2 linked regions of the Lepisosteus oculatus genome follow. The protein of the gene in region 1 binds, or shares a complex with, the protein of each later gene. Links are inferred from orthologs where the notes say so. Each region holds a gene or a part of one and is shown in the gene's direction. Other genes may lie near its edges.

Region 1 (15,145 bases):
CCTCCTGTGTGTCTCTGCCCTGCTGCTGGGTCTCTCCCCCTGTGTGTCTTTGCCCTGGTGCTGGGTCTCTCCTTCTGTGTGTCTCTGCCCTGCTGCTGGGTCTTTCCTATTCCTGTGTGTCTCTGCCCTGCTGTTGGGTCTCTCCTATTCCTGTGTGTCTCTGCCCCGGTGATGTGTCTCTCCTCCTGTGTGTCTCTGCCCTGGTGCTGGGTCTCTCCCATTCCTGTGTGTCTCTCCTCCTTGTGTATGCTTGTGCCTTGGTGCTCTAGTCAATGTTCTTCTTTCCCATCCTTGGATTTTAAACAGAACTGGCCACTTTGGATTTGTTTCTTGGACTTGACTGGTCCTTTCAACATTTTTGTTTTAAAAATTTTCTTCATACTTTATTCTGGTCCCTCAGGTGTCCGTTTACACAATTTGTACACACTGCTTATATTTAAAGTTATTATTTCAAGTTTGAAATTGATATGGTTCAGCAGCTGTTCAATATGGGATGTGTGCTGCTGTGCTGATGTTAGCATGATAACATCAGTTCTCATGGCATGCAGTGATTTTCACTCTCTTAAGTTTAATTTATTGGATCTTTTTTGTTTGTTTTTTTAAACACAAGAATTTACCAAAAATGGCCTTTGCATTGTGATTGTGTTCTTTAATAATGTTTTTGAGTTCATTTACTGTTTTTTGGCATGGACTGTGTGGAAAGATTAGGAATGATTTATTTTTTATTTATTACTATTATTATCTAGTTTATCTAGCATCTCAAATAGTAATTTAGTAATGTTTTGTATAAGTGAGGTGTTTTGCTGTGAGGTGGGAATCTCACGATGCACGATTTTATTTGTTTTGAATGGAGAAAAGATACCTACAAATTAGCTTTACGTACAAAATACTGAATTCTGTTGTTTCAAACAGTGATGCCTTGGAAGTAACATCACACACAGAACAAAGCAGGCACGGACACAGCATTGTAGAAAGGACTGATGCCGAATGCTGATATATATACTGTACCTGGGCAGAGAGGGGTTGTGAGACATCTGAACAATTACCTTGTGTGCTGGTGTTCTTGTTTCACTAGGACAGGAGCTCTGTGTTCTCCATGTTTAAATATTACAGGAATTGCCACATTTTAACATACTCACAAAAAACACCAGTACTAAAATACCATTGTAGATGCTTTACACATGTTAAGACCAAGTTAAGATCAAGTGTTAAACCCTCTTCAGACTTCTGATAACATTATATGTGCTTTTTAAAGCTCAGCATAAGGGCAACAAAAGTCAGACCCCTAGCCAGTTACAGGAGTGAAATCATAATCACAACACAACAATCAATCCTACTGTGTCTGGCTGTTGACTTGGCCATTATTTTGCCTGTGTGGGCTGGCGGTCCAGCAATTTGATCCACAGTAATGGTTTGGAAGAAGGAGCTAAAGGGAAAAGGGAATACTGGCAGCACAGGGATGATGTGATGGCAGTAGAGTTCACGACTGTACTGGTGGTAGATGGTTTTTCCTTCTATCTATTGGTGGGGGAAAACAACAAATTTACTCTTGTAAATAGAACTGATGAGTAAGATGTTAAACTTAAAGGTATTGTCTGCCTGTCAGCAAAGACGTTGATGTACCTGCTGGTTCTTTTGTATTGTAAAAGCTTTTCTAATTCTCTGTGTGTCTTTCACTGTGATAAAGGTTTCTATCATTTCCCTTTGCCTGCAGGGACTTTTACTGTGAGAGCTGAGTAGCACTTCTTTCTGATTGTTTCACTCTTGACACCAGAGCAGAAATACCATTACAGAGTTTACTGTTGGTATGTTTTTATTTGAAACATTGTTCCTCACTGTAGTAAACTGGAAGCTCCTGTATTTAATATCTGCATGTTACACAAGAACGCATGGGTGGAAATGATTTGTCTCCAGTAAAAAAGTAACAGTTCTGGAAAAAAAAATGAGTCTGTCTTTTATTTAGCACCGAAGGAACACCAGTTAGTACTTGCAGCCTTGGGGCTGCTGTGATAGGAAGGTGCTGGGGCTGGATGGCCCAGATGATGAGTGACTCTAAGAAACCCAAGGAGATTTACATACTCTCGACCAAGACTGCAAGCTGGAGGCTCTGTTCCTAATGAGGTTCATTTTTAATTATTCATTTTGTACCCACCAAATTTGAAATTGCTGATAGTTTCTGTATTTCCTGCCTCCCGATGACTCCCTACAGGGGAGGAGGAGGCGGAGGAAGAACAGTCCGCCCACCCAATGAGCGCTGAGCTATTCACCTGCAATTTTCAAACGCTGGGACTTACAGTGTAAACACATACTGGATGGTTAATTGGCTTCTGGGAAAGTTTGTGTGTCTGTGTTTGTGTGGTGTGCTTTGTGATGGACTGGTGTCCCAATCAGGGTGTTTTCTATCTTGTGCCCATTGCTTGTGAAGGTAGGCTCCAGCTCCCCTGTGACCATGAATTGGATAAAGCAGTTAAAAAATGGATGGATAGATGTTATAATTGTGTATCACACTAGAAAAGTCTTATTTACACTGTGTACAATTTTGGTTACCATCTTATAGGAAAGTGAAAAACAAGCAGATGCACGAAGAAGAATCAGATGTGTTACTGGGCCTAAGAGATAAAGGGACTGGACACAATCATTCAGAATCCTCAAAGGTATTGGCAGAGTCAGCCTGGACTGCATCAGAATGAACAGTGAAACACTGAACAAGAGGACATGAATGGAAAGTGCAGTGAGAACAGGATGCACTTAATTACATAAAGGGTTGTGGGAGTGTGGAACAACCTACCCAGCCACATTCTTGGATGAGATCAATCATCCCTTAACAACCAAATGGGCTAGATGAGCCAAAAACACTTGTTTGTAGATGCTCGTATGCATTCTTCCCAGATGCATTTTTAATGCCATAGGTTTATGGTTCCTTTTTTAAATCTACAGATCCTTATCAGCAGTAACCCAGTGCTGCACAGCCCAGCCTTTACTGCACCCTTTTACTGTTGAAGGAGAGAAGGGGGCAGAACAGTAAGTGCCCAAGAGGCTTGTTCCTTTGTAATTGAGTTGGAGAGGTTAGCCATCAAATGGATCCTGGAGAGACAAGTCACCTTGGAAATCATTACAGAGCTTTTGAACCAGTTGAGCGACTTGCGAAGGACTGTATATCTTGACACCTGTCATTATCAATCACCTGAGAGGTGATCTGATCACTGGAAAGGTTGGAGAAGGTGTGATGGGGAGCCTCTCAGTGGGTGCTTTCACTCCAATCACAGACACAGAAAAATGAAGTAGTCACCTAGGTGGCGACTGGGCCAGCTACCCGCCTTTTCCCATAGCGCCATCCGCAGGCTCAGAGAGGATTCTCCATACAGGCAGGTACATACTATAACAAATACATTACTGATAAATACAGTATATAGTCTGGAAAGGCAATGTAGGTATTTATACAGAGTATCACCTTATGGTTCAGGTGGGTAGCTGCGTCAGCATGCGTTGGCTGCAAAGGAACAAGTAATAGGTTTATTCCATGCTGAAAGGAGAAGAAAAAAAGACAACATTTCGGACACCTGAAGAAGGCTCCACAGCCGAAACGTTGTGTTTTCTTTCTTCTCTTTTCAGCATGGTATCACCTTATGTTGTACATAATTGGTTAATGTTTGCTTAATGGTTATTAACCCTTTAACAGTTGTTGCCTGAGACAGATGAAAGGTTGGCAATGATCCAGCTGGGCTTGGTTCTATTTTGGACCTCAGAGGGAAGAGGCATTTCCCTTATTCCCACCTAAAGTTCAAGGAAGCCTGTTGGCTATGGAATAAAGGAAAACAGTTGGTGTTATTTTTCTCCTCATTTTGAACCCGGTCACTCTTAATATTTGGCACTGTCTGGACTTTTTCAGTTTCCTTTTCGAGTCTTGTTTGGTTTTGTGCACCTGTGCTGATTAGACCCGGCTTGGACTTCATGTCCAGAATCCCAGAGCACCACCTGCAGAACCAAACTTTACGTCAAAGGTTGGCAGAATCAACCAAAGTAATAATAAATATCCCAATGCTGTCCTGAAAACAGCTCGAAGACAGACCAGACACCTTCTCATCTCAGAGGCATATTATACATGGACAGAAGACAATGCTCAGAATGACTGTGTGACTGTTGTTGAGAGAGCCCAAGTATTCTCTTATTTCCTGAAACTTTACTTAATGTTCTTACATTTAAAAGAAGTGTGGGCTGATTTCATTTACTGCACATTGTATTTCAGAGAATTTTGAAAGACTAAATTCCTAATACAGTGCCTCACACAGTTTTCACATTCTGTTGCCTTTAAAGCTTGAAGTTATGACATTTTGAAGTAGGAATTATTATTTGCTATATACACAATCTACTCCACATATCCAATGCAACAAACAAAAACAAGTATATTGATAATATGAAAGGAAAATGAAAAAGTCATGATTGTATAAGTATTCAAATCCTTTGCTGCTGCAAACCTAAATTAAGTTGCACAAAATTACCTTAATGAGCTTCACAATGAATTGTGACCTCTGTCTATGTGGTAGTGGTGGTTCATGTGTTTCAGAACGGAACTGGATCCTCAGAACCAGGACTGATGGAGAGCGCTGGTAAAGTTCAGCACAAGTGGACACACAGCAATCTGGAGAGAGAGGAAACATGGAACAGAGGGAGAAGTAGCACTGCACATCAAAATGAGCCTTCAGGTACAGGAACACAATCCTTTTAGATTGCTACTGTAGCATCCATCCACACGAAAGGGCCACAAAACCAAACCAAGTAATTCTAGAACATTACACATTCAAAGGAAAACACAAAAAGAAAGAAGTAAATAATAATAATAATTCCCTACACTTTTCTGGACACTCTGTAACAATGCGTAGTTCAGGACAATATACAGACGGTATAATCCGGATATAAGTGGACAACAGGGAGGAGACGGCGAGGATCAGGAGGGGTTGACAGACAGGGGGGCGTGACAATGGTGAACTGGTGCTCGGGGCATAGCCAGGGCGAACAAGTTCAAGGAGTCCAGGGGGTAAAATCCGGAGCGAAGTCCAAAAGTCCAAAACCGGGTGACCCAACCGAGACAGGACAAAACAGAGTTAAAAACTGGAACGTTGATCCAGTACAGGGACAGGGAATGAAAACAGCATGACGAGGCCAGGCGCTCTGACCCCCGGACTCAGCTGGGTCAGGACGCCGATAGGAGGCCAATGCCCTCAAGCCGCGGGCGTAGGGCAACTTGATGGTAGTCAAGACGGGCGTCCGTCTTCCAATGCAGAGCCGGGAGTAGCAAGAGCGCCCGGATTTAATAAGGAGGGGCAGGATTGGGGTCAGGTGCACATAATTAGCAAAATAAGAAAGAGCCGGAGTGCCCTTAAGAGGAGGGATTATGATCGTGACATACTCCGTGGCAATGGGGACTCCCCTCCACCACCACCAATGTGTAGCACCACCTGGATAATGCGATGGCAGCCATAGTGCGCACAGTACACTCACCACACAGCAGCTAAATAGATTATATGGAAAACAATGTAAAAGTCATGATTGCATAAATATTCAAACCCTTTACTGTAGAAACCAAAATTAATTAGTTTAAGTGGCCTTTGTCTGAGTGCAATAATAGTGGTTCAGATGATTTCAGAATAAACATACCTGTCTCTGCAAGTTGCAGAACAACTCCATAACAAAGTAGTGTAAAGGCACAGATTGGAAGAGAAGTATAAAAACATTTCAAAGCCTCTTAATTTCTCTGTGAGCATGCAGAGGTCAATCATTAAGAAGTGGAAGACACTTCCCAGATCAGGAAAACTGACCTCTGAACTGAGCAGCCTTGGCAAGGAGGAATCATTGAAGCCAACAGCATCATCAAGAGTTACATAATTCAGTGGCTGACATAAAAGAAAATGTCCATAAGGGAACAATACCCCACCTGCAACACAAATGGATTTGTAACGGACTGAAAAAACATCTCCAATGTCACATGGATTTGGCAACAAAGCACCTGAGTGATACTGCAAACATGAGGCAAAGATTTTTGTGGTCAGACAAGACGAAATTGAAAATGTTGTTGTCCAAGTGCAAAGAGTTACATTTGACACAAACCCAACATCCCTCTGACTTATGAGAGAAAGAGCCCTTGGTCAAGCCTCACTGTACTAATGCTAAAGCCAGAAGTGATTAGAGGATTCTGATTTCAGCTGGCTGAATGACTATGCAGAGCCCAGGATTGCCCAGTTGGGATACAAAGAATCTTGTCCTCATTATCTCATTGACATCCCACACACTCCCTGTGGCTCCTGACGATCTAGGCCAATTCAGGACCAGCCAAGAACTTGGCAGATGCCAGATTTAATGCAGACATGTGCATTACACTTGTAATCCAGGTAAAGATCGAGATCGAAAACACTACTTCAGACAAAATTTAAATGATTTCAGTGTTTATGTTGACACACCCTTCACATCTTCTAGACAGTATGGGGAAGCAATAACAAAAGGAAAAAAATAGGATAAATGGTTAAAGGTGTAGAATTTAAATCAAGGGATGTTGTGTTGAAATTATACAATACAGGGCTATTTATTACTGCTCAATTTGTATCACTCTGGCATCAGCCCAGAGAAGAGGCACCACACACATTCTGGAGTTTAAAGATGACTAACAGGCAGAAATAACTGAATCTCTTCAGTTGTGAATACAATAGACTGCAAGCAAACCTGATCAAAATAGACTCACTTATCTCTAACCTTGATGTTCTTATGTCCCAGACATCTTAGCCTTAGTGCAGAACTGTTATAATGCAATATTGTCACTGTATTGTACTACCATCTGCAGAAGCAACTGTGGATGACTTTCTTAAGTCCTTGAGCCTGATTCAACTTATACACTGCACAACTGGGAAAGTCATGTTTCAACAGCCAGTATAAACTCCAGAACAATTTCTGCAAGAAATAAAAAAAATAAAGATTCTTTCTGAGAAATCTTTTATTTTTGGAGGGTCTGTGAATTGAATGGTGCCCTGTGTTCCATATTCAAAATGAGAACAAATTGGGTAGATCAAATCTACATTCGCACATCCCCCTACTACCAATAACAAAGCCAGCAGTCATTGGAGTGTCTCTGTAATGTTCACTGTTAGAATCTTTTCACCTTTTAGCTCTAATTGGCAGTAATACAGAGAACACACTACAGGGAAGTTTTCATTTAAGATGCAGTAATATAAGGCTATGCACTCATACACAATTAATACTACAAGGTGCCCTGGGGTATGTGGTTTTAAAAACTGGATTAGGAATATGGTTGACACCTTTTCCACAGTTAGCTCCCAGACAAGAACTCTACATCCCCACTAGTTGTCCAAGTCTGATATCCTTTAACGGCTCTATCCTGACGTAAAGTACAGGCTATGGGCTCCATAGATAGTAAACTTATCAGAGGAGATAATAGGCAGAAAAAAAGAGACTTTAAAAGATACTTAACCATGCACTAGGATGCTACTGTTTCTATCTTCTACAGTATCTATTTCTAGCAGGTTATACCATGATCTAAAAATGGGGCCAAAGTTCATTTGTTCTAATACAGTTTTTAGGTGCTGTTTGTTTAAGCAGTCAAATGCCTTTTCCAGGTCTATCCCTAAAATGCACAAGGGGAGGGAAAGGTCCTCTGAGTACAGACAGACATCCCCCCAACAAGGCCAGGTTGTCACTCATTAGGCGTTCTGGTATCCCATAAGTCTGTTTTTCCCCTATTAGTGATGCCTCTGCCATTTGTAGGTAAAGGAAAGGGGTCTTGGACAGGACCTTAGCGTCCAAACCTAACAGAGTGAGAGGTCTCCAGTTCTCAATGTCATTTTTCTCTCCTTACACAAGAGAGATGGTGCTTTCCCTTAGAGAGGCAGGCAACAATCCTAGTGTACCTTGAAGCTTACTGATACAGTTGCCATAGCCAGTGTTTGAGCAGATCCAAACAGGTGCAATGAAATTCGTTAGCTTTCCCCTCCTGTAAGTTTTCCATTGCATGCTTTAGGTCTCCTAGCAATTTCCCATCTTCTTTGCTCAAAAGTTTTCTAGCTTTGAGGTAAAATACTGAATTTCTTCGTTTTTCACTTCCGTATATAAGTTATAAATATGAGTTATAAAGTTTGGAGTAGAAGTTGTGGATAAGGAACAGGATGGACAGGATGGCAGTGACACTTTCCATGACAGACTATGAGCCTCCACTTTAATTGGCTTCTGTAAGAAACTGGTCCTGGGGCGAGTGTGAGTGTGAGTGTGAGTGTGAGTGTGCCCTGTGATGGACTGGTGTCCTGTCCACAGTGTATACCGTCTTGAGCCCATTGCTTTCTGGGATGGGCCCCGACTCCCCTGGGACCCCTGGGATAAAGATGTTAGAAAATGGAGGGATGGATAAACCAGTGGTTCTGTAGGATGGTCCTGGAGGTTTGCTCTCAGCTCTTGTTAGGTCAGCTGGGATCTGTAAAAGTATTAGTCACGTACTCATGTCTGAGTTTCAGAACTGCTGTCAGACAGGAGTGCTGCCTGAAATGTAATGATTGGACATCTTCAGGAGGAAAAATCGCTCATTGTGAGTGTTTCGGATACAGTGTCATTCTCATCTCTGAGAATCGGCTAGTTAGTCACATTGTTTTTAAGGCATATTTGTATGATCTCCATCTGTAGCAACTGAAAATGTATACAATAACCCTTCAAAAATCGACAATTATATATATATACTTATGTAACGTAATTAAAACATTTTGAGATCAGAGAAAACATGCAGAAAAAAAGGTAAAATGCACAGAAACGTTCTTTTCATACAGGTCTAATTTGCAACATGAAATAGAAAACGACAAAGCAGAAAATCCATTCTCTCTCCTCTGGCCGCTCCCGAGTTTAAATGGGCTTGTCATCACTGATGTTTTTGTGTGACTTCAGTTTGTGTGAAAGGATGAGTTTGTGTATGAATCACAATTTGTAATACCGCAGATTCGACCCTTTCCTTCCGCTTCCTCTGAGAACCTGTGCAGGTCTCTCACCAGGTGGCGGCGTTCCCTGCGCGGCGCGAGGTCTGGAGCGCAGTGATTGGAGGGCTGGGCCGGGAGCAAGCTCGCGCAGGAATGCGTCGCCGGGAGAGACGGGCGGCGCGAGGGGGAGGGCTGCGTAGCTACCGAGGGACAGAGAACCCCGAGACAGCACGGGAGACGCGTGCCGCCGCGCCGCGAGATTATCAGAGACGCGAAGTTTCACTCGACGCCGAAAGGAGCTGGTTCCGCGCAGCAGCTGGGCTCGCCTCTTCAGGTAGGTGAGCTTGATTCCCGCGTCTCGCCGTGGCTGCTCGGCGGCGGGGGAAAGTTGACTGCTGCTGAGTCAGTTGAGGTGTCCCCGGCCGCTCCGAGAGGGCTCGGGTTGTGGCTGCGGTCCACGGTGGAGGATGGTTTGAAATACCTGACTTCGCTACAGCCGCCTCTGAGAAAGTGGCTGGGCGCTTTGTGGCCAACCGCAATCGACTTTGGCCTTCCCGCTTGTCCTTGTTGACGAAAAAAAGGCTTCAATTGTAGATGATTCTTCTTATTTTAACGCATTCCGGAGGCAGTAATGGGGTTTGGAAATAACACGGTATCCTAGTGATACGCAATATGGATCAGGCTTCTATAAATAGTCCCCACTGTGTTTTTGTTTGGTGCTGTATTTTTTTTTTAAACTTAATTTTGGCTAGTGTAAACACCTGGACGAAATAAACGATGTACGTAGCGAAGGAACTCGCCAGCGCAGCGATGTATCAGCCCGAAATGACTCCTGAACTGTGTGCGTATGGCTCCTCAAGATGACGGCCGCACGCTGCGCTGCCTCTCCAGCGTGCGGTGAGCGCCGAGGTGGGAGAGAGCGCCGTGCGCCCGGCCGGAGCCGAGGAGCAGCTGCCCGTGGCCTGTGGGGCCCAGCGAGCGCGGCTGCCCAAAGATGGAGGAGAGCGGACTGTCTGAATAAGCGGCGCAAAGCGTTCCCACCAGACCCCACAGTCCCGGCTCCTTCCGGGCCGAGCTGCGTTACAACTCAGTGAAAGTTTTGGACAACTTCTTGGACTGAAGCGTCCAACATCTCTGATGTATTTCAACATGGTGGTTATTGAAGCTGCTTATCGGACCCCAGGATTATTCCGGAGAACCTCAGTCGTGAGGGAGCAATGTCTTACGTGCGCGTCATGATTATTATTACAAGGTAATAATCTGTATCCAGGTGCACAGCTGCCCGAGCGTGTGGGTTGGGCGTTCAGTTCTTGTGAGCAGTGCCCTTCAACTCGGGAGCCCTTCTGGGGCACCTGGAGGAAACTGGACTGGCGGTGCTCCGCACAGCTGGCCACAGGTGTCTGATTGGGGGTATGTTGACCGCAGACAGTTTAATTACGATACACATGAGCGAACTGCAACAGGAAGATTGTTGTATTTTGCCATGATTGCTTGTAAACATCCTAGGTGCGGTGTGAATGCGCATGCGAGTGGACACAGCTCTGATCGGACACAGCGGCAGGGGCTCAACCCTCTGCCTGAGCAGCGCCGTTCTGAAGTTACCTCTCCAGTTTGCGAATAGTTCGTCCCGTGAAGAAAAACATTTTACTGATAAGGATCAAGACAATTACTGTTAACATAAAACAGAAGGTTAAGCCTCCCTAGATTCTTCATCTGGCACCCAGAGTGTGTTGCGAAAAGCGTGTGGAATAGCCCAGCTCTGTTTCTCTCTGCCTGCTCAGTCATGGTGCTTTTTATGCACCGTCCTCATCAAGCAGCACTTTATCAATCGTTTGTAAAGCGTCTCTCCTTTATCTTCGGTCTTGTTTTGTTGGGGGTTTATACCGTTAAATCGTGTATGATCAGTGTTTACGGTTCTGTGTTTTTATTTTCAGGTGGTTTAGTGTTTGCAGAAGCTGTTTTGCAAGTAGTCTCAGCTGTTTTTCTGTTTTTCTCAGCTGACCTTTTTCTTAAAATGCCCGTTATGTGAATGTGAGTACATCAAAGGGGCCACTGTAGCTAGTTTCTCTTTGAGCAGTCTGGTTTTGGAGGTACTTTAACTGAAATCCATTTGCCGTTTAAAGCTATTTATTAGATGTGTTCTGTTTACTGTAACATTTCTAAATACATGACACTAGATGTAGTTTCTTGTCAAATCATGTCTGAATGAACACATTTTCAATATGTGTAAATTTGCAGTTAGAATTAAAATCATTTGATTTCTGTGCTATTCGTGTATCCCAAATAAAGCCTCACATTTTAACAAATGGATAACGAAGCAGAAGTCTGGGTTACTGGAAAAACAATTCTAAAAATGAGTGGCTTGTTCAGTTGGAGGGAGAACATTGACATTTGCCTTTAAACCAGGTAACATTCTTCTTTGCTTCCAGATATGCACTCACAATCCCGGCTTGATAGTCCTGCCATTAGTTTGAATTTTTCTAGGCAAAATGTCAGTTCTGCATTTTGTCTTGGAGGCCTTTGCTTGCCGGAGTGTCTGTCTGGTTGGAGCTGTCCATGCTTGGTGATCAGAGAGCAAAGCTGCTTTTAATTTAGTGGTGGGGGACTGTTTTTCTTGAGCTGAAGGGAGAGCAGCAGAATGGAGGGAGGTCAGAAAACAGATGGAAATGCTGAATGTGGAAATGTCTGGTTTGAAAGCCTCTAGAAAGTGGGGAAGGGGTGCAGAAAGTTTCCTTTTTTCACGAAATGGAATATAAAGACTAACATTAAACACATGCCAGACAGCTGTGCATTCCGCAGCTTACTCTGGGTTCTCTGTTACAAAAATAACACAGCCGAGTATCTGGGAGCAGAAACACAGAGCAAGACAGTTGAAGGGCTCGGGTGAGGCCTGCTTCAGGTATTCCAACAAAAAAGTTTTAATGGCTTTTTATAGTCTGGAATATTTGTTGCTTTTACATGAGCTTCCGTTTAAAAATTATTCTATTACAAATTAGTCATTCGTGTGCCTGATTATTTACGTGGTGTGTCCCGGTGATTAGTGTATGAGCTGCCATGGCTGTGAGTAATGGTCCTGACCTGCATTACAGTGCCTTAGAACAGGGGAAAAAAAGGTGCTGTGCAAAAGGTTCCACACATGATAGGAGGTGGTGGGGGAGGTTAAGGCCTCCAGTTCAAACATGACTTGTATATAATGTGCTGCCTATTGGAGTGAAATCTGGGATTAGGTCAGATCAATAAAGAACAGTGCAGGTTTAGTAAGGCACAGAAAGTAGTTTTTCACATTTGGGGAGTGGTGCCAGCATAGGCGCAGTTAAAAAAATTGTGCCCTGTGTCAGACTAATAGCAATGCAAATTGTTCAGCACTCACAGTTTTATGATATGGTAAATGTAATGAGGATCACCATGAGCATCGAGCTGTTCAACAGCTGCTTTAGCAGTCCAGAGGGGATGTGAAAGTAGCACTAGAATTGTATGAAGATTAAAACAAGTCACTAAAAATGATTGCGGAAGGCTGGCATAGTCCCTGAGCTGCACAAGTGCACATGCAAGATTTGTTTAGCATTCCTAGGCAGCAGCAATGGTGCATAAAGCCCTATGAAGTTCTTCTGCCAGCGCACGTTAACTTGTGAAGAAGACGTGGCTCTCTGAAGTGGAGAGGGTTGTCACTGGTAGAACACAAGTGTGACCTCTGATGGTGCTCTGAGCAGGAGTCAATCATCTCATCATCTCTAAAACTGTGCAGTTCTTTGCAGCTCTTGGTTACTCAGTGGTACTCTTCTTCATGTTGGGAGAGGAGGTGGGAGTTATATGAGGGGTTCGAATCTGTACTGTACTATAGAACACTTCGTAGGTAGGTCCCTTTTCAGGCAATAAAGGCCCATGGGGAATGGGAGGGCAAGGGCCACCATTTTTCTCGACCATCCGACACTGGAGGTGGGGGTGATGCGGCCAGCACCACCCCCCAGCTGGCCTATTACCCCCGGAAGCATTAACCCCCGGTACTCATTTGGAAAGCAGGCTGAGTGGACCTGGGAGCCGTCTGGAAGATATTCAAGCAAGCTACAGTGCTTGACTCTACCTCGGATTGAACTCGGGACCTTCCAGTCAGGAGCGTATTCATACTGTTCGAAATGCTTGCTGATTCCAAGCCTTTAACCTTAATTTGTGCCGATTTTGGTGTCATTTGTGCATTTTACCAATGATGCAATGCTAATTCCATTCAAGGCAAATGCAGTTCTTGACCATTTTAGCAGCAATATGGCTGTGTTAAGGCCACGTTTCCCTCTGCATCAGTCTTTGATAATTTGTGAGGCGTTCTCTTGCTTTTACTAAATTAGTGCTAAAGTCCTTAAATTGGAACTTGTGCCAGGAAAAAAAGGATCACCATGATTTTAAAATATTTTTTACTTTTTTAGTGCTTTTCAGGTATTTTGGTTTTGAAATGTGGAAGATAATTTAAAAAATTTATAAATTCTAACCTTGTTAGTTAATGCCTTTTCCTCAGACATTTTACTATTGTTTTTCTGGGTCCTACACAGACTATTACAGTCAAGTATTTGAACATTAAAACATTCAAAAAATTATATTGTGTAATTAAGTCTCAAACTAAAGAAATAGTTTCTAAGGGAATTGTGTGATACTCTCATTCTGCACATGAAATTGCTGGGGTCTGATTCTGTACCCAGCATCAGAATCTGTGAATGTGCAATAGTAGGTTTTGTAACAGTGTGTGGACTGTGGTCTGAAAGTCCTTGTCTCTTGAGGAGCATTCTGGGTGTCATTTTTAGTAATTAACAGTAATTGGCTTTACTGCCGCTTTAGCCATTTGCCCTTGTTTTTTTAAAAGCACACATTGGGGCATTCTTCCCACTTCCTGTTCCTAATCCCCCAATACTGGCTCTGCTGTTAGCAGTTGCTATGCTGGTTGTCACCCTTCTTGTCCCTGTTTTTGAGGAGCTCAGTAGCAGTGCTGTGAAACCAACCATTTTTTTCTTTGCCATTCTTGAAAACCCAGGCCAGTGTCTGTTGGTCGGTCAGTGCTCAAACTGAAGCTGAACAAAAAGCCATGAAGGAGAAATGCAATTTGAAATACAGGAATGTTGTCGTGAGAAGTGTGGCTTTATAAAGTCTGGATGTATGTATATAGATCAAAGCAGAATGGTTGTTTGCTGCATTAAGTCTCAAGTTTTTTTAAATGTGACATCAGTGGTGTAGATGACTGTACCTGTGTACTCACAGGGTCCTTTATATAAATAAGCACAGCTTTGCCATCTTTTAAGTTGTTCAGTATTCTTTTAGTATGCAGCTTGTAGAAAAGAAACGAGATGTTGATTCCTGACCTTTGGATACCACAAATGTGTGGTGTTCCGGAGCAACAAGTGGTTTACGTTCTGATAAGTTGTGCTTTATGGTTTCTTTAAATATTACACAGAGCTTTAAGTAATTTCATTTTGTGGTTATCTTGTCTGTCAGTTGCAGAAGTTTTCAGTGATGGGGGTTCACATTCAGCATTGATAAGGTTTAAAAATATGATTCTATAAATCTAGATGGAATTAAATAGAAAATGTGGAACAGATTAATTACCAACAAATTTAACACAGAAAAAGGAATGGATTACCCAGCTGTGATATTGCAGAGAGGTATAATGGGCTGTCACAAATTGCAGAAGAAAGCGTGATGATGAAAGACTAAAAAAAGTTAACTTTAGTCTGTATAATTATATAAAACATAGGTATTATGTAACTTATAGCTACAATCATTAAAGCATTTTCAATACTCTCTGGATAAACAAAAAATGATTGCAAAATCAGGATCAGGTGGCCTTTTAGCTAATTCAGCACCACTAAAGCTATGTGGAGGACTTATTCTATACAACAGTGCTTTATAATAATGGGCTCAGATACAGTACTCCTGCCTTATAAATTGAGATGAGTACTGTAGCATTCCTTTACAGGGACTGGATCTTTAAAGTTGGAAGTGTAGTCCTTCATTACGCCTTTTGTGAAAAATGTATTTTCTCCACTTCATCAGAGGAATAATGGCTGTCTTTTTGTTTTTAGTTTTTGCTGAAAAGCTTAGTTGAGCATGTAAGTTACAAGTGCTGTTCGAAAACCACTATGGTCACCTTTTCTGTTGTTCATGCTTTTTAATTATTATAGGTACAGTACTTATCAGCAGATAGA
Region 2 (15,282 bases), on another chromosome or scaffold:
ACAGTCTTTAAATGGTATAGACTTAGTCTCTCCCACTAGAGCAGGTTTTTAACTTGAAAGAAATAACAGTTTGCGGTCTCTAGTCCTACAGTTAAATGGTTTGAACACTTACTGTCACCAGGCTCTCATGATTTCGGCAGGGCTGGGACTTGCTCAGGTGACACGCTGGGCTCAGCCAAAGGTGCCTCTTCAATCCTGACCTGTGTTTGAAGAAAAATTCAAAAAATGCAGACAGAATTGGCAGAGTAAAGCAGGGCGAGAAAAGCAGGGAATAAAACAAACAGTGGAACATATCCCAGACGAGTGCAGGTCATCCCGCAGGCTGAGAGTAATCAAGCAGTCCTGTAGGATGTGATACTGACAGGTTCATGTTACGGCATTGGTGATTTGCTGAATCTTTCACACTTTCATAATTCCCGTTTTCAGCCACTGCTGTCACTTTAAAGCATAGAAACCTTATCCGAAAAATAAGGGCTGACCCTGGGATATATTAATCTCATAGTGATAAAAAAGAAACCAAATTATTTGATAATTGCACTGGTATTTGTTCAGCTGTGAGGCAGCTCTGCAGGCAGTTAACATTGTCATATCTCAGCTTCTGTGTTTTGTCAAGATTAACAGCCAAGGGTATAAGCTGTGCCGTAATGACAGGGTTGGGTTAATCTGCTATTACTTTAAAAATGAAGAGTGTAATGTCTATTTACTGCAGGATTCTCTGCAGGAGTCTTTTCTGGAGTGTGAGAGATAATCGAGATTATTTGAATAGAATGAAAGCCCCACAAATGAATGGAAATAACAATGACATCATCTTTTCACAAGCAGGGAAATGCTACATGTGCATAATTATCATTAGTAATTTAATATGCCATAACTCTGTTTTTGCCTGCCAGGTCATGCTACACTAATTAGAGATTGAACTGGTCAGTGTATTTGTATTTTGCATGCTTTGAATATTTGAATTTCAGACAGTATTACTCACTAGCTTTGAGCTATCACATTACATCGAAAGGTAGGAATGAATACTGCCACCTTTTTTCTATCTGTCTGTCTGTCTAAGGAATTCTATATGAGTAATTGCCAAGGCTAATGCTGTTTCTTGGCTAAAAGCAGACCTCTGTTCTTGTTCTAAAACACTGCATATCTTACTGTTCTCTGTTCCAGGAATTATTGCCTTTCTGAACAAAAACGGATAATTTTAAACCAGCAGCTGCTGTCTTTAACTTTGTTTCTGTCTGTGCAGTGTATAAAGACACAAGTCACAGCTCCTGCTGGACAGACATGCAGAAAATTGCTTGAAAGGTTACCCAAAACAAAACAACAAAGACAAATGAAGGGGTGTGAATCACCTGGAGTTATTGGGTGTGGTGGTAATTATTAGTGGTTGAGTTTCATTCATAGGCTTCATTAAAGAGACCATTCACAATCCCAGTTCTGTTCTTCCATGCCAATCGCCAGCACATTGGTTTATTTTATCATCTTAAATCTATCGGTTAATACCTGTATATTTCCAGAATAATATTGTGCCTGGCACTGATTGCTAGGAAATGTATCCTCACAAAAATAAACTAAATACAGTCCCCACACTCAGTAATTTAGGGCCTATGCGCAGAGAGCAGTCATGGCGTCAGGAGAAAAAACGGCACTGCAGAATTGCAAACAGCTTCTGGGAGGCGCTGTGGGAAGGAGATCGCGGACCGGCTCTGCAACCTTGGAGGTAATGGCGTCTGGGCAGCTCTGCCAGACGAGGCCAAGGCCTAAAGACCAACGTGAATCTAAAGGAAAAGGCCCAGAAATCCCTCTCTCAGGTTACCCTTCACCCTATAGAAGGTGTCAAGACACATCCTTGTGATAAATAGGATCATCTGAACGGACAACATAAAAGTGCAAGATTGGATCTGCTTTGATTCTTTGGTGATTCGACTTTCTTTTCCTGACCCGAACTCTAACTGTAACCTAAAAGCATCTCCAGACTGGCAGAGGAAATGAAAATCTGTTCTCAGTGACTTATCTGGTAAAATAAAGAAATGAGTCATAACTGGCTAGCAAGTTTTTTTAAAGAGCACACATACAGTTTGTTCATTTTGTCAACTTTAGACACATTGGAAGATTTTTTAGTGCTGTCAGATGCATGTTTACCTTGCCTGAAACCCTTTGAAGACTAGGGGGTAATGTTTAATACCAATATGTATCATCCATCCAACAGAGTATTAGAGTGTAAAGTTTATAAACTCCTTTTGGTTTTTCCTCACTAGTTCTGATGCACTGTGCCATTCTCTAAACCCTGTTTTCAACGTTTGCTCCTGGAACGACTGCTACCATGGGCCTTTTCACTCTTTTCCATTCTTTTCAGAAGGATTAATGCAATTGCATGCCGACTTGAAACATTAGTTTATTATAACTGAGAAAGGGCCCTAAAAATGAGGAAAAGCAAATGACGGAAAATGCTAAGGAACTCTGACAAGATGCTAAGACTTTCACAGCTGCTGAAAAAAAAACACAAACATTTCCATCCCGAATTTAAGATGAATGGAGCCTAACCACTCAAAGCCACAGGCACGCAAAGCAAACACCTGCAGTTCAGGTGGAACAACATGGCTCAGATATAGAGACTTCTTTCTTCTCCAGACTCCCTCTGAAGCCAGAGCCAGAGCAGCAGAACTACAGCAGGCTGCTTGTAGCTTCTTCTTCTTCAGCAGGCAGAGATAACAAGGACCCAGGTGAAACCGAAAATTAGACCCACCTCTTATTGTGCAGATTACAAGTTCCATGACAGATCTATGTCCTCTTCAGGACTCCTGGAAACCTACAGCTTCTAATTTCAATGTTGAGTTGATTAATTTCTTATTTAATTCTGTCTACGTTCATCTCATAAAAACCACCCCAAACAACATGATACAAGTTCAAATCCTTGATACATGGTCTTACAAAACATTTCCAAATAGAATCTGATGAAACACCATGGGCCAAGAGTTTCCAGGGACCAGGACGTAAAAAAACATGTCAGAGAAGAACAGACTAAAGTTTTTTCTAACCTGTGTCCTGAGCACCTGCCAGGTTGGACTGCTCATGAGAGTACAGTGTACCAATGCTGCCTAATGTCTGCTAGCTGCAGAGCTGAAGCTACTCCAATAATTAATCTAAAAACCAAAGGGGACTCTCTCATTTGCAGATAGTTAACACTATCTGCCTAATAGCTAGCACTATTCTCTTCTGCCTGATCATGCCAAGATTTTCATGATTTTAAATGGTGAAGTTTTAACCTCTATCCTAGTAAGAGAAAAATATAAATAAGAAAAGTTAAGATGCTGTAAAAACGCAAGAAAGGTTTCAAATGCGAGGAGGCCATTTGAGCCATCTAGTACTTTAGGTAGCAGCTAATTGACCTGGATATTAATGATAATTTACATGTTACTAACAAAAGGTCCATTGTTGCATGCAGATATATTACTTTTGCTATTTAGATATTATTAATTTTAAGATGCTATTTCTAATAACTATAATTAATCATAAATAAATGGAATGCAGACTAGTTTCAGTTAAAAAATGAACTGAAGTTACTGTTATGTTACTGCTCAGAAGAGTATCTGCTACAGAACATCGTCTTGTTGCCTACTTCAAAATAAACAAAATGTTGCACTGTAAATATGAGATGAAAGACTATACTGTAGTTCTCTATGTGTAATACATTGGATAGCTATAGGATGAGAAATTCTAGAAACTGTCTTAAAGAGGCATTAGTGCTGATCCATCAATTCATTTCCTAACTACTTCATCCAATTCAGAGCCTATCCCAGCAAGCAATGGGTGGAAGGCAGGATACACCCTGGACAGGATGCTAGTCCATCCAGGCCACACACAGACACAGACACACACTAGGGCTCATTTTCCCAGAAGTCAATTAGCCTGCCAGTATGTCTTTGGATAGCAGGAAGAAACTGGGGCTCTTGGAGAAACTCCACACAGATAGCACCCAGGTTTGGAATTGAACCAAGGACCCCAGCACTGCAAGGTATCAAAGCTAACCACTGCTCCACAGTGCTACTGTAACTTACTGGTGCTCATGTTTAAATCAATTTCAGAACATTATAGCTGACCTAAAGGTATTGTTCATGCATTTTCTGTAGAGCCCAATGCACAGCAGTACAGTTACCAGCACTACTTTGTTTCCTTTGGATGTAAAATACAAGAATGACTGGAATCTTCTAGTACTTGAAATCAGAACCATCCCAGCTGATGTTCTGGCAGGTCTGAGGGTCACTCTAGTTAAATGTAACAAACAAAGCATATTCAGCACATTGCAATGAAATTTCCTGATACTCTTAAGCAAGGGTTCAACAAAACATTCCGTGTGAATCAAACATAAATGAAAATCTACATGGGGGGTTCTTTCTTCTGCCAACAGAATGAAACCTCATGTGATTTATTTCCAAAGTTGTCTTTATACAAAGAGTAGTAAGTGTCTAGATCAATCTAATCAATCTTTTGTTGAAATTAACTGTTATGGTATTTCAAGAATTATTTGGATGGGGGTACTGGGACAGATTAATTATCAAATCAGAACCAAATAGGTAAGATGGGTGCAGTGGCCAACTCTTGAATGTGTCCTTTCTTATGTTATTGCTAGCTGTGGAACAGGACACAGTGTATAATATGCAACTTTTTAGAGAGCTAACTACCAAACATGGCTAATTATAGACCCTCAATACTAAGAATTTCACTGCTTAGATGACAAAACCTGGGCTGTTCCACAAGTATGTGATCTTGCTCTGCACCAAACGCATGTCACAGGCTCTGTGGGCAACAATCCCTCTGGCCTTTGCTTCAGCAGAGAAGAACTCCCATCACAGGGGAACTCTTGGGCTCCATCGCCACAGAGAACGGCTGCGCCTCACAAAGATTCCACACCTGACCATTGGAAGCAGGGTGTGTCATTCAACGAGGACTTTAACATCTCTGCCACCTAGTGGATGACCAGAATACTACACTGCTTAGAGGGTGGATATAACATTAAATTCATTTGAAATTTGCAATAGGAGCGCTTTTCAAGAGCGGAATATAAGACAGATAGCAGACAGGAGGAGAATATTCAACCTATCTTGGCCTCATGACATATAAAAATCTATCTTTAAGGTACAGCTCACACAGAATGATAGAGGAGATGGAGAGAAAGGGTTGGAAAATGGGAACAGTGACCCCATTACCTCTGGAGATGTTCACTAGCACAGGGAGGTCGGGAGCAGAGGTGAGAGCTTGTGTCTCAGAGCTGCAGAGCAGGAGTTTGTCAGAGAAAGGGAGAAAAGCAGCCTTTTCGAAGCAAAGGAAGTCTTTCATGAGTGAGCTATTATTTAATATTTACAAACAGACTAACAGTGACAGTAGCAGTTCAACTGTTTTCAGTGAAACTAGACCGTTATGAATGTAAAGGGGACCATGAGAAAGTGAAAAGTATGATGGTCTATTGCAAATTGAAGACTGTTTTAAAAACACATTGAATTGCACAATGAAAAGAGTGAAAGATGTTCATCGAGTAATGCATAATGCAATGCTGGAATAGGTTTCAAGGAAGAGAGAGAATGAATGGATCTAGTGTTGCAATCTTATGTCAGTTTTAAACAAGCAGTAGGAGGTGGCCAGAAACAGAACACTCCTGACATCTATAGGTTATTAATTAATTTACTTTTCTTAGTATTTCTAAAATGTTCACAGCATTTAGAACATTTATATTTGTCACAGAAGTATTCTCTGGAAGGCTGCAATGTAGCAATGCTGAGGGTAGGCAAACACTGGAGAAAGAACTGTAAATATTTGCTCCTAGATAAGTATCAGATCATATCAAGAGCCATCCAAAGTCAGACCAGCACAGCTGTGATCATCAGTGATTTGATTCTCCTTGTCAATGTATCTTAATGGAATATGGCTAATCTAGTGACACTTTATTTGGCATTAAGGCGACCCACTTCAGTAGTCTGCCATCTCATTGCAGGACGTCCTGGTCTGTTCTGCACTGAAACACGGGGGAGATCCAAAACACTTCATATGTGTTAATGGGGAAATTACTCAGAACGCTTAATATTGGAATATGTCTGATAAAAACATAAAATCTGGACAATGCCAAATGTATTAGTAAGATTTTTTTTAAAATCCAGAGAAAGATTGTGATAATGATTATCATACATATTGTCATTTTCATTCTAAAAAATAAAACAAAACATTTAAAGTTAACTTTTTTGAAGAAACACTTTTTTTGTAGTATCTGGTTACATTTTTTAAGCAGTCATTAGTGGGGATGAGATTAAAAAAATATTATTAATCTGATTGAAATCTGATTAAAAAGACTGTCACTATCTTGTTCTGCTGGGATAAATCAAGAGATAAAATAGGGGTCACCCCAGGCATTCTATGTCTCTGTGAGGTAAGAGGGCTTTTTGATAGAAGAAAAAGTGTGATCACTTCAACTGTAAATCTTATCCTGCATTTGCCCCGTAATTGTTATGCACAGTGCTACTGAAACATTCAATCTGCAATTAATTAGTAAATTTCTACAGTGGAAACAGCTTTCTGATTGCCTGTAATTTGTAGGTATATAATCACTTGTGACTGATTCTCACACAGAGAATTCTGAAGGCTTGGCCTGTTCAATGGGCTGCAGTCAGTTTAGAGAGCTGGCAGGAGAGTTCTCTAATTGTTAAAATATGTGGATGAGAGAATAGGAGTCAATTGACAGACTATAAAAATCTCAGTAGGATAAACCACACAAACAAAAAATTCTTAAAAGAAAAATCTGCACCATAACTACAGTACATCATGGCCAAGAGGCGCACTGACTGGTGACAAGCAAGAGTGCTGGATCTTCACTGGAAAGAACTGGAGAAGAAGAGGGGACACCTTACTGAGAAAACAAGCTTGACGTCTCCCAACAAGCTTAGTAATTCTATTACAGCAGCTCTTGAGCGCTAAGTGAGCTTATTGTTTTGAGGTATTCTAATTTCAGTTCTGCAGAGTTAAGTCAATGAACATTTAAATAAAAGCAGAAAAAATCACCCCCCTCCCCCCAAAAAAGCCAACATATGTTGTTTTACACAAACCACAGGAAACACGACAACCTTCCAATTTTCAACAGTGATTTCTGTCAATTAATTATTTCTACTGCACAGTCTGTTATATTTATGACATGACTTAAAACCGGAGACTTTATAGCGCTGTAAATCCATGCAGCAGTGGTTGCCCCTGGGAGAGAACCCAAGCAGGGTAATGAGGGAGTGAGAGACAATGTCAGGACTCTGAACCTGGGCCGCTGAACGTACAAATGGCATCACGGAGCTCAGAGCCTGACATGTCAGGCAGACCAGAGTATTCCAGCACCGATCAGATATCCCCGTGCCTCATATGTCTGTCCTAATGTGTGTAGGGAATGGATTTCTGGTCTCAGTTTTTCTTTCAATTATTTTCTCTTTCATGTAAAATAATAAGCATACTACTTTTTACATGGAGGTGTCTCCCATGTCAAGTCAGGTTGTTTGACTGTTCAGAGTGTATTTGGTATTGACACACTTTCCTCTGACTTGCATCAGCTGAGGTACAGCATTGGCAGGCTGACTGAGTTTTTTTTTTGCTTTGACAGATGAGCACAAAATCCTGAGGGCCCTGTTTACCAGTAATGTGAGCAAATAGAAGCCGAATATCCCGCGAATTAGGTTGAGAGAAAAAGGTGTTTAAAACACATGATGGCAATCAGGCTTCCTGAAAAGATGCATTTTTTTTCTGTTCACTTCTCATAAAAAATGTAAAAATTTGCGGCTACAAAGTCTAACCTTAAAATTATATTTCATCCCAATGTTTCAAATTAAATAGTCTAAGTGGGACATAGTTACAGCATATAGGGCAATATATTATTGTACCTGCACTTTCCATTTATAACTTAAAAGATTTACAGTTTAGAAATTTAAAACGCACATTTCTGTCTTAGCCTCTTAACCCTTTTGTTTAAAGAAATATTATGGACTTAAGTAAACGGCTTCTTTAAATGACATAATGCAAAGAATTGGTCTTAGTGGCTTTTTTCATGTAGAGCATGACTCATAGCTGTGGAAAGAGCAAAGAAGATTTTAAAAGAAATATATTGCACTTAAATTAGTTTGGACAGCATGACATCAGAGAGTAATTAAATTGGTTTTTGTTGGAATTCCGTTTCCAATTCCTGAGTTCAGGTTTGTAAAGATTTCTGAGCACCTGCAGGTTTCTGTGTGTGAAATATTTTCACTGGACGACGTTCAAAACTTTGGAGAAAAAAAAAAGACTTTTTTTTCAGCGGCAGCATTACGCCATTCTCCCCTCTTGGAAAAACTGGGATTTAAACAAGTCTCCTACAAGATATCGGGCAGAATTACAGGAGTTTAAGGGAAGTCGAGCTTCTCCTTTCAATGCAAACCGTTTCCCCGGATTGCTCTCTCTTTGGAAAACAGAACAAGGAGCAAGCGATTCGTATCACTATGGTTCTGAATAGCAGAGCTGGAGAAAACGGTTTGCTAAGCTTGATTGTCCAAAGAAAACTTAATTCGGGTCTGCTGTTGCGCTTTTGCAAGCTCGTTCATGTTTTCTTATTTAAGACTGGAAGAACCTGCGGAGATTTCTTTCTCGCTGAGATTCAAAGGAAGTTCAGAGGATGAAAATACTGAAACGTCTCCCTCTTTTATTGGGGTGCTGGACTGTGCTATACCTGGATTTCGTCCCAGCGGCCTTGAGCCCGACTGGGACCGCACACAGTGCATCTGTGAGCAGGCTAGAAGGTCGCAGGACTGGTGGAAAGGAAGGAGCCCCTCTGTCTAGGGGTCCCGCTAATTTGATGGTGGGGAGTCATGGTTCAGGGACGCGAGCACCCTCGAACGGAGCTCGGATCACTCGAATCAGATCTGGACAGCCACTGATAAAGGGCGACACGTCCAAGGCGAAAGCCGCGACTGCAGTGACAGCACACGGCGTCCCAGGAGGGGCAATTCATTTAGGTAGAAAAGAAGCGGCTCGCTCCTGGGTGCCCGCGCAAATCGCGCTCACTGGCACCAGCTCGCCGCTGGGGAGCAAAACACGGGCAGTCCCCGAAACTGTCACGGTTCCTGCGAGAACTGGGCAACAGCACAAAGCGGGTAGTCGAAAGCAAGGCTCCCCGCTAGCGCAGAGGAGCTCCAAAGCGCTGCCTGGCCAGTCTGCGAGCCCCAGGGACTTCTCCACGCACCCCCTGGTGACGCCCCACGACTACATGCTGTCCCTGTACTGGACACTGTCCACGGGCGAGGTGAACAGCAGCGCGCTCCAGGAGGCAGGGATAGCCAACACCATCACCAGCTTCGTGGACAAGGGCCAAGGTAAAACAATGTATACATGTTCTACTGTGACTGCAGCTGCTGCTGCTACTGCTGCTGTTAATAATACATTGTGCAGGTATGTGTGCTTATGTAACGAAATTAAGATACATTCAGTTTTAAAAACATACTGTAGTTGAACTTGAACATCAGAATTTACAGGTATTTTCTAAGACTTATTTTAATTCTAACGGAAGACATTTAATATCGACTTGCTATTTCTTGATTCCAAAGAGCAGCTGTCCGATGAAATCATCATCATCATCCAGTATCAGTTTAATTATTGCGACAACCCTTCATGCTTAGAAATGAGCTTCATCATCACTACATCAATGTGTGTCCTTCTGTTAATACAGTGGGAGACTGATATTGAGAAACGTTGCCATATTCCAATAAAATCAGCAGTATCAATGATGCTATTTATTGTAGATTTTTAATATACAAGTTAAAGGTAACGAATTTTGGGGCAATGAAATATAAATATACATGATGGTCCTTAACTAATAATTAAACAGTCTGGACGAAAACATTCATTATTCTGTGGAGATTACCGTTTACACTGACTTGAGATTGTCCACTACAGGACAGAGACTGTATTGGGGTTCCGTTCGCAGAGGTGATTTGAATTGCATTTACTTTCCAGACACAAAGGCTCTCAGGTCAGATCCTGCGGCTTGTTCAAATCTGCACCGCATTACCGACTCAACAGGGTGAACGAGTGTTTAATTGAAAAATTGGTATCGCCAACACTATTTCTGCAATAAATACAGCACACCGGAAACTTCGAAAGTACCTTTAGTTTATATTATAGATTCTGCCTTTGATAAACACGTTGTTCATTCATAAATTTGGCCGCGGATGTGGACGTTTTTAGTCTTACGATAAGTCTGTTCGTAGCGGTTCTGCTGTAAAGCTTTGAGTCACGGAGCCGAGCGCTACTGAAGCGTCTTGGACTGCGATTGCTTCACCCTTATACGTCCCTGTTTCAGTATTATGCATAATTACACAGCTAGCGTGGTTAACCAGTACGCAAGCCAACATCTTGTTGGACCTGAGCTAATGTTTTTCCTTCTTTTTCGTAATTGTATTACAGTAAATTGGTGCTGCTTACTGTAACTGGCTGAAGTCAAAGAACTGTCAATTTATTGCCTCCACATGCAATTTAATTTAAACAACTCAGGAAGGTTCCGCTACAATTCCCTTCGTATAGAATGGCATGAAGGGAACTTGGGCCAAAACTGAGAAAGCACGCTTCTCTAGAGACCCTCAATCGCAGAGTTAAACCCGCATTTTGTACCTAATCCCTCTGATAGAACCATTTAATGTTCGACCGTCAGTAGCGTACATTAAATAAACTGCACAGGGCTCACATTTTCCCAGCCTCTGACAAGCGATGACAAGCTACGTAGTTTGCCAAACCTTTGGTGGTGTCTTGTGGAAAACAAACGTCCGTGTATCAATGAAAACAGAAATGCTTGTCAACGAATGGCTTTTCATGAAAAATGAGTGAATTTCAGGTTTTTATTCACTGTTGGGTTCGGACAGAAACTTGTTTCAGATTTCCACAGTTGTTTCTTACCGTCCCCAAAGCATCGCCGCTCTTCTGGCACGCACCCCACTCTCTCGCACACATATGTATATAATATATGTGATCGTTTTTAAAACACACCGCAGCCCTCCAGAGATCCCGAGTGCTTGTTCTTCATTATTTGAGGCAGAAATGCTCCTCCAGCACTCGAACAGCCCCCTGCCCCCAGGTGCTGCTTCCAGGTGACACAATGTCACTCCTGTGGCCCTTGCTGGCTCAGTGTCTGGCCTTTGAAAACTAAACAAACATATCGCATTGGGGTAGGTGGCCTCCTTAATGTATTGTTTTTTCTTTACCAAGTAAAACAATTTAAAAGAATGTTAAACAATGTTTGTTTAATATTCATAGCCGTTAAATGTTTACATTTCGAGTGGTTAATGTAGTTTTAATTTGAGCTGTATTTATACAAGTTGTCTTTTGTACATTTTAGGCCTGACCTTTCAGTGTGTGACTAAATCTTGCATTGTGTTAGACCATAAATCTCAAACTCAGAAAAAGACGAACTGCTCAAATGTTCTAAATGTCATGAAGGAAAAGTTTGTTCTGTGTTAATAGCATACATATGAAGCCATTTATCAATTTGTATTGTATTTTGTATGTATGCATATGTTTTGTGGTAGATTTCTGGCATGATATTTATAATTTTTTGCTTGTGGTGCTGTTGGAAAAAATAACAAATATAAAGTGTGTCGTATTTAATCTTGTAATAAACTCACAGTTGTTTGCTGGGTGGTATGAATGATGAGATATGACTCCTTGAAATACTATACATTCTTCCCTCACTTCAACTTAATTTAAGCTTTACTGTATGTTTGCATCACTGTGCATTGTCCAAGTTATAGACCGTAAGTCCAAATGTATTCCAGAGAAACACTGATGAACAGCAAATACAGAGCGTAAGGGAGCTGAATATGTACACATAGATTCATTCTGCTGTATGAGTTCAGACACATAAAACAATCAATTTGTGTCAAAAATGTTTTTATTGTAATGCTCTCTTATTCTATAATGATTTCTAGCTCTGCCTGGTAAGCCTATCAGTCACATAGACTTCACCTAGTTTCTTTTCAGTATGTTGCTGATTACCCAAAATGTTTAAACCTAGAGAAAACAAGGAGATGGTGAATGTCCAGTCTGATCCTCAAGAATCCAAATACTTCAGTGTATCACTGGCCATTGCTTTAACATGATGTCATCGATTTTAATTGTTTGACCAGTTTAAAAAGTAATTTCTTAACTTCATTTTTTAATCTCTTTGAGTTACTAACTTTTAAGTTAAAAAAAAGTAGTTGTGCTTTTCCTTGTCAAGATTGCAGTCTGGCAGACTTTCCTCTTTGCTGGTCATAAAGAGGAAAAAGAGCCATAGAAGCAAATGACTACTAGTACTGAGTTTTAGTGTATCCCCATTGATTAAATGTCCTACATTTCTTACACGTTAATCTCTTTGCCTCTTGCAGATGACCGCCTCCCTCTGTTGAGGAGACAAAAGTACTACTTTAACATCAGCTCCCTGGAGAAGGAGGGCGTGCTGGGAGCTGAGCTGCGCATTCTTCGGAAGAGGCCGTCTGACCCAAGGAAGGCTCGATCAACAGGGGGGCTGTTCACTCTCAAGATCTTCACCTGTCAGACTGGCAAACAGAAGGCATCTCTTCTCCACTCTCGCAGCATTGAGGACCGTGATGTGCCTAAGTGGGAGGTGTTTGATATCTGGAAACTGTTCCGGAACTTCAAGAACGTGGTCCAGCTCTGCTTCGAGCTGGAGGCCTCTGACAGGGGTCGGCCGGTGGACTTGAGGAGCCTGGGGTTCAGCCGGCTCGGCAGGCAGGCCAAGGAGAAAGCTTTCTTCCTGGTCTTCAGCAGGACCAAGAGACGAGACCTGTTTTACAATGAGATCAAAGCTAGGTCCGGCCATGACAACAAGACAGTGTACGAGTACCTGGTCACCCAGAGGAGGATGAGAAGAGCCCCCGCCTCCCGCGCCAAGAAGCTGACGAAGAACCCCAAGCCGCGCTGCAACAGGAAGCCCCTTCATGTCAACTTCAAGGAGATGGGCTGGGATGACTGGATTATTGCCCCGCTGGAGTATGAGGCCTATCACTGTGACGGGGTGTGTGACTTCCCCATTCGCTCCCACCTGGAGCCCACCAACCACGCCATCATCCAGACACTCATGAACTCAATGGACCCCGACTCCACTCCCCCTACCTGCTGTGTGCCCACCCGACTGAGTCCCATCAGCATCCTCTACATTGACTCTGCCAACAATGTGGTCTACAAACAGTACGAGGACATGGTTGTGGAGACGTGTGGCTGCAGGTAGCAACGCCAGCCCTGTCAGGGAACATGCTCCCTTTCACCCAGGACTCAGAAAGACTGAGAGAAGCGATTGCTGGCTTGTAGCTGTCGTCAGGGCACCACACCATGTGTCTTGAGCGCCTTGGATAGCTTTCAGGAAGTTAAATAATTCCATAAAAATGAGGGCATACCAAAGTCAAAATGTAACCCAAAGTGTTTCAGAATGTTTCCTTTTGAATGTGTTTCTCTGGCCCATCGGGATAAGCACAGTAACTGGAATGTTTCATATTTCCCAGACCAAGAAGTGGCTGAGTAACTTTGTATTCTTTTCTGAATCAGCCGTGTTAGCCTCCTCCTATTCCTGTGCAGACAAGGACTTTCTGATACTCTTTTGAACTGATCAAATTAAGAATCTTAATACCCTAACAGGAATAACCATTGGCTGTTGCAACCACACATGCTTTTGCGGTTACAATCCTGCAAATCTGCCCTCAGTCCTTATGTTGAAAACAGTAGATAACAGTATTGTAGAGCATTGTTAATACAACATATATTAGAAGATGTAAACTTCAGAATTCAATGTTTATATATTTATACTTGTTTGAATGAAATGAAGTGATATTTTAATACAGATTACAGACCATCATTTTAATAAAAAGTGTTGTCCTTGTAAAATTTACAATGTGATCAGCTCACCGGTGACATTCTTGCAATGCAAATATGGATGAAACTGTTCCTATGGAAGATCTCCTGGTCTTCTCACACAGTGTGGACCCTCCTGCTCTGTCTTGTAGGTCAACACTGATCTGTCTTGTTTGTTTTCTCTGAGCTGCTGTTAAATATTGTCTCCCTTCTCAAAATTGTCAGCTGGTTTCTTTTTTCTTTTTTACAATGTTACACAACAAGGAAAGAATAAAAATATTGCAGTAGTTGTTAATGAATTTTCCTTATGTGAGTTTAATAATTGTGTACTAGTATGCCCTAAATCCAAGTGTTTTTTTGACAGTTCAATAACCATATTATTATTGCTGTTGGCTGCATTTTGGAAGAGTTTGTGGGTTTTTTTTCATTTACAACGACACAAGTTGATTCACTAAAATACATGTTTTCCAGTAAATTCTAAATACAACAAATGCAATTGTTGATATGTTATTGCATTTTTACAGCTTTTTTACTTCACAGTTACTCTAGTAAATTGCATGAAACTCACTTACGTATGAGAATCCTACTGGGTTTAGTATAGGAATGTCTTTAGTCATAGTGCAAAAGATGCCTGAGTTGTGAAGTGCCTTCCCCATCCCTTTCTCCATAGCAGAAATTCTCCCACCGGCCTAACAGTATATTGATATGGAGAACATTTCTCTCACAGCTTTGTGGTTGAGAAGGACAAGACATCCACATTTGACATCTGTGGCTGTTGGGTGAGATGTGCTTTATTCTGCTAAATTGCTTGTATTGCCTTCCCTGTTCAGTGCCCTATGGACACTAGGTTTGGACACTGGTCCCAGAGGTTGTGAAGACTTAGGACATTGGATTCCCTGGGAAACAGAAAGCTATAAGAACATAATAAACTTTAGCCTGGCTCATCCAGCTCTTTTGCAGCCAGGAGACTGAACCTAGTTCAAGAAGACTATGAGCAAGTTAGCGGTCCAGTTTCCCTGCTTAGATAATTAATACAAACTGATTAATCAGAATAGGGAACTGCTCTTCAGTGGATCCTGGGAACTGTTTTAGAAAGATAATATCCATATAAAATGAAAAGATAAGTCAATTATTTAGTATAATGGCAAACCCAGAGTTGAATTAGAATTAGGGCTAGGAAATAATGTAGTCTTAGGCTTACTATATGTGATATGGTAAAATGTTAAAAGGCAAGTGTTAACTATTTAAGAATTCTGATTGATGATGTCTTAGGATAAAATCTGAGAACATTTTGAAAAAAAAAGTGTTAGTATTGGTGAGTGTAAAGAATTCAGGGGGAGTACATTCGATGGAGCGCATAAAATACATGTATTAAGTGTTAATTTATGTTAAGATACCTCA

Evidence for each region.
Region 2: the proteins of bmpr1aa (region 1) and gdf5 are in contact, whole or in part, in a crystal structure (PDB 3QB4), measured with the Homo sapiens proteins. The link is inferred for Lepisosteus oculatus from reciprocal best matches to the Homo sapiens genes BMPR1A and GDF5. Residues at the interface, in NP_001393490.1 of Homo sapiens: Gly65, His66, Cys67, Pro68, Ile77, Thr78, Phe83, Ile85, Glu87, Cys100, Met101, Lys102, Glu104, Gly105, Phe108, Gln109, Asp112, Ser113, Lys115, Ala116, Gln117, Arg120, Ile122; in NP_000548.2 of Homo sapiens: Arg399, Phe435, Pro436, Leu437, Ser439, His440, Glu442, Pro443, Asn445, Val448, Ile449, Leu452, Ser455, Met456, Pro458.

The regions. Positions count from the first base shown.
Region 1 is NC_090699.1:46,324,365-46,339,509, forward strand, and holds the start of bmpr1aa (bone morphogenetic protein receptor, type IAa), read left to right. Parts: upstream 1-9,078; 5' UTR 9,079-9,294; intron 9,295-9,364; exon of another isoform or gene 9,365-10,212; intron 10,213-10,346; exon of another isoform or gene 10,347-10,370; intron 10,371-15,145. UniProt on the Homo sapiens protein: On ligand binding, forms a receptor complex consisting of two type II and two type I transmembrane serine/threonine kinases.
Region 2 is NC_090711.1:208,501-223,782, reverse strand, and holds gdf5 (growth/differentiation factor 5), read left to right. Parts: upstream 1-9,041; 5' UTR 9,042-9,253; coding exon 9,254-9,359; intron 9,360-12,401; coding exon 12,402-13,264; 3' UTR 13,265-14,368; downstream 14,369-15,282. UniProt on the Homo sapiens protein: Growth factor involved in bone and cartilage formation. During cartilage development regulates differentiation of chondrogenic tissue through two pathways.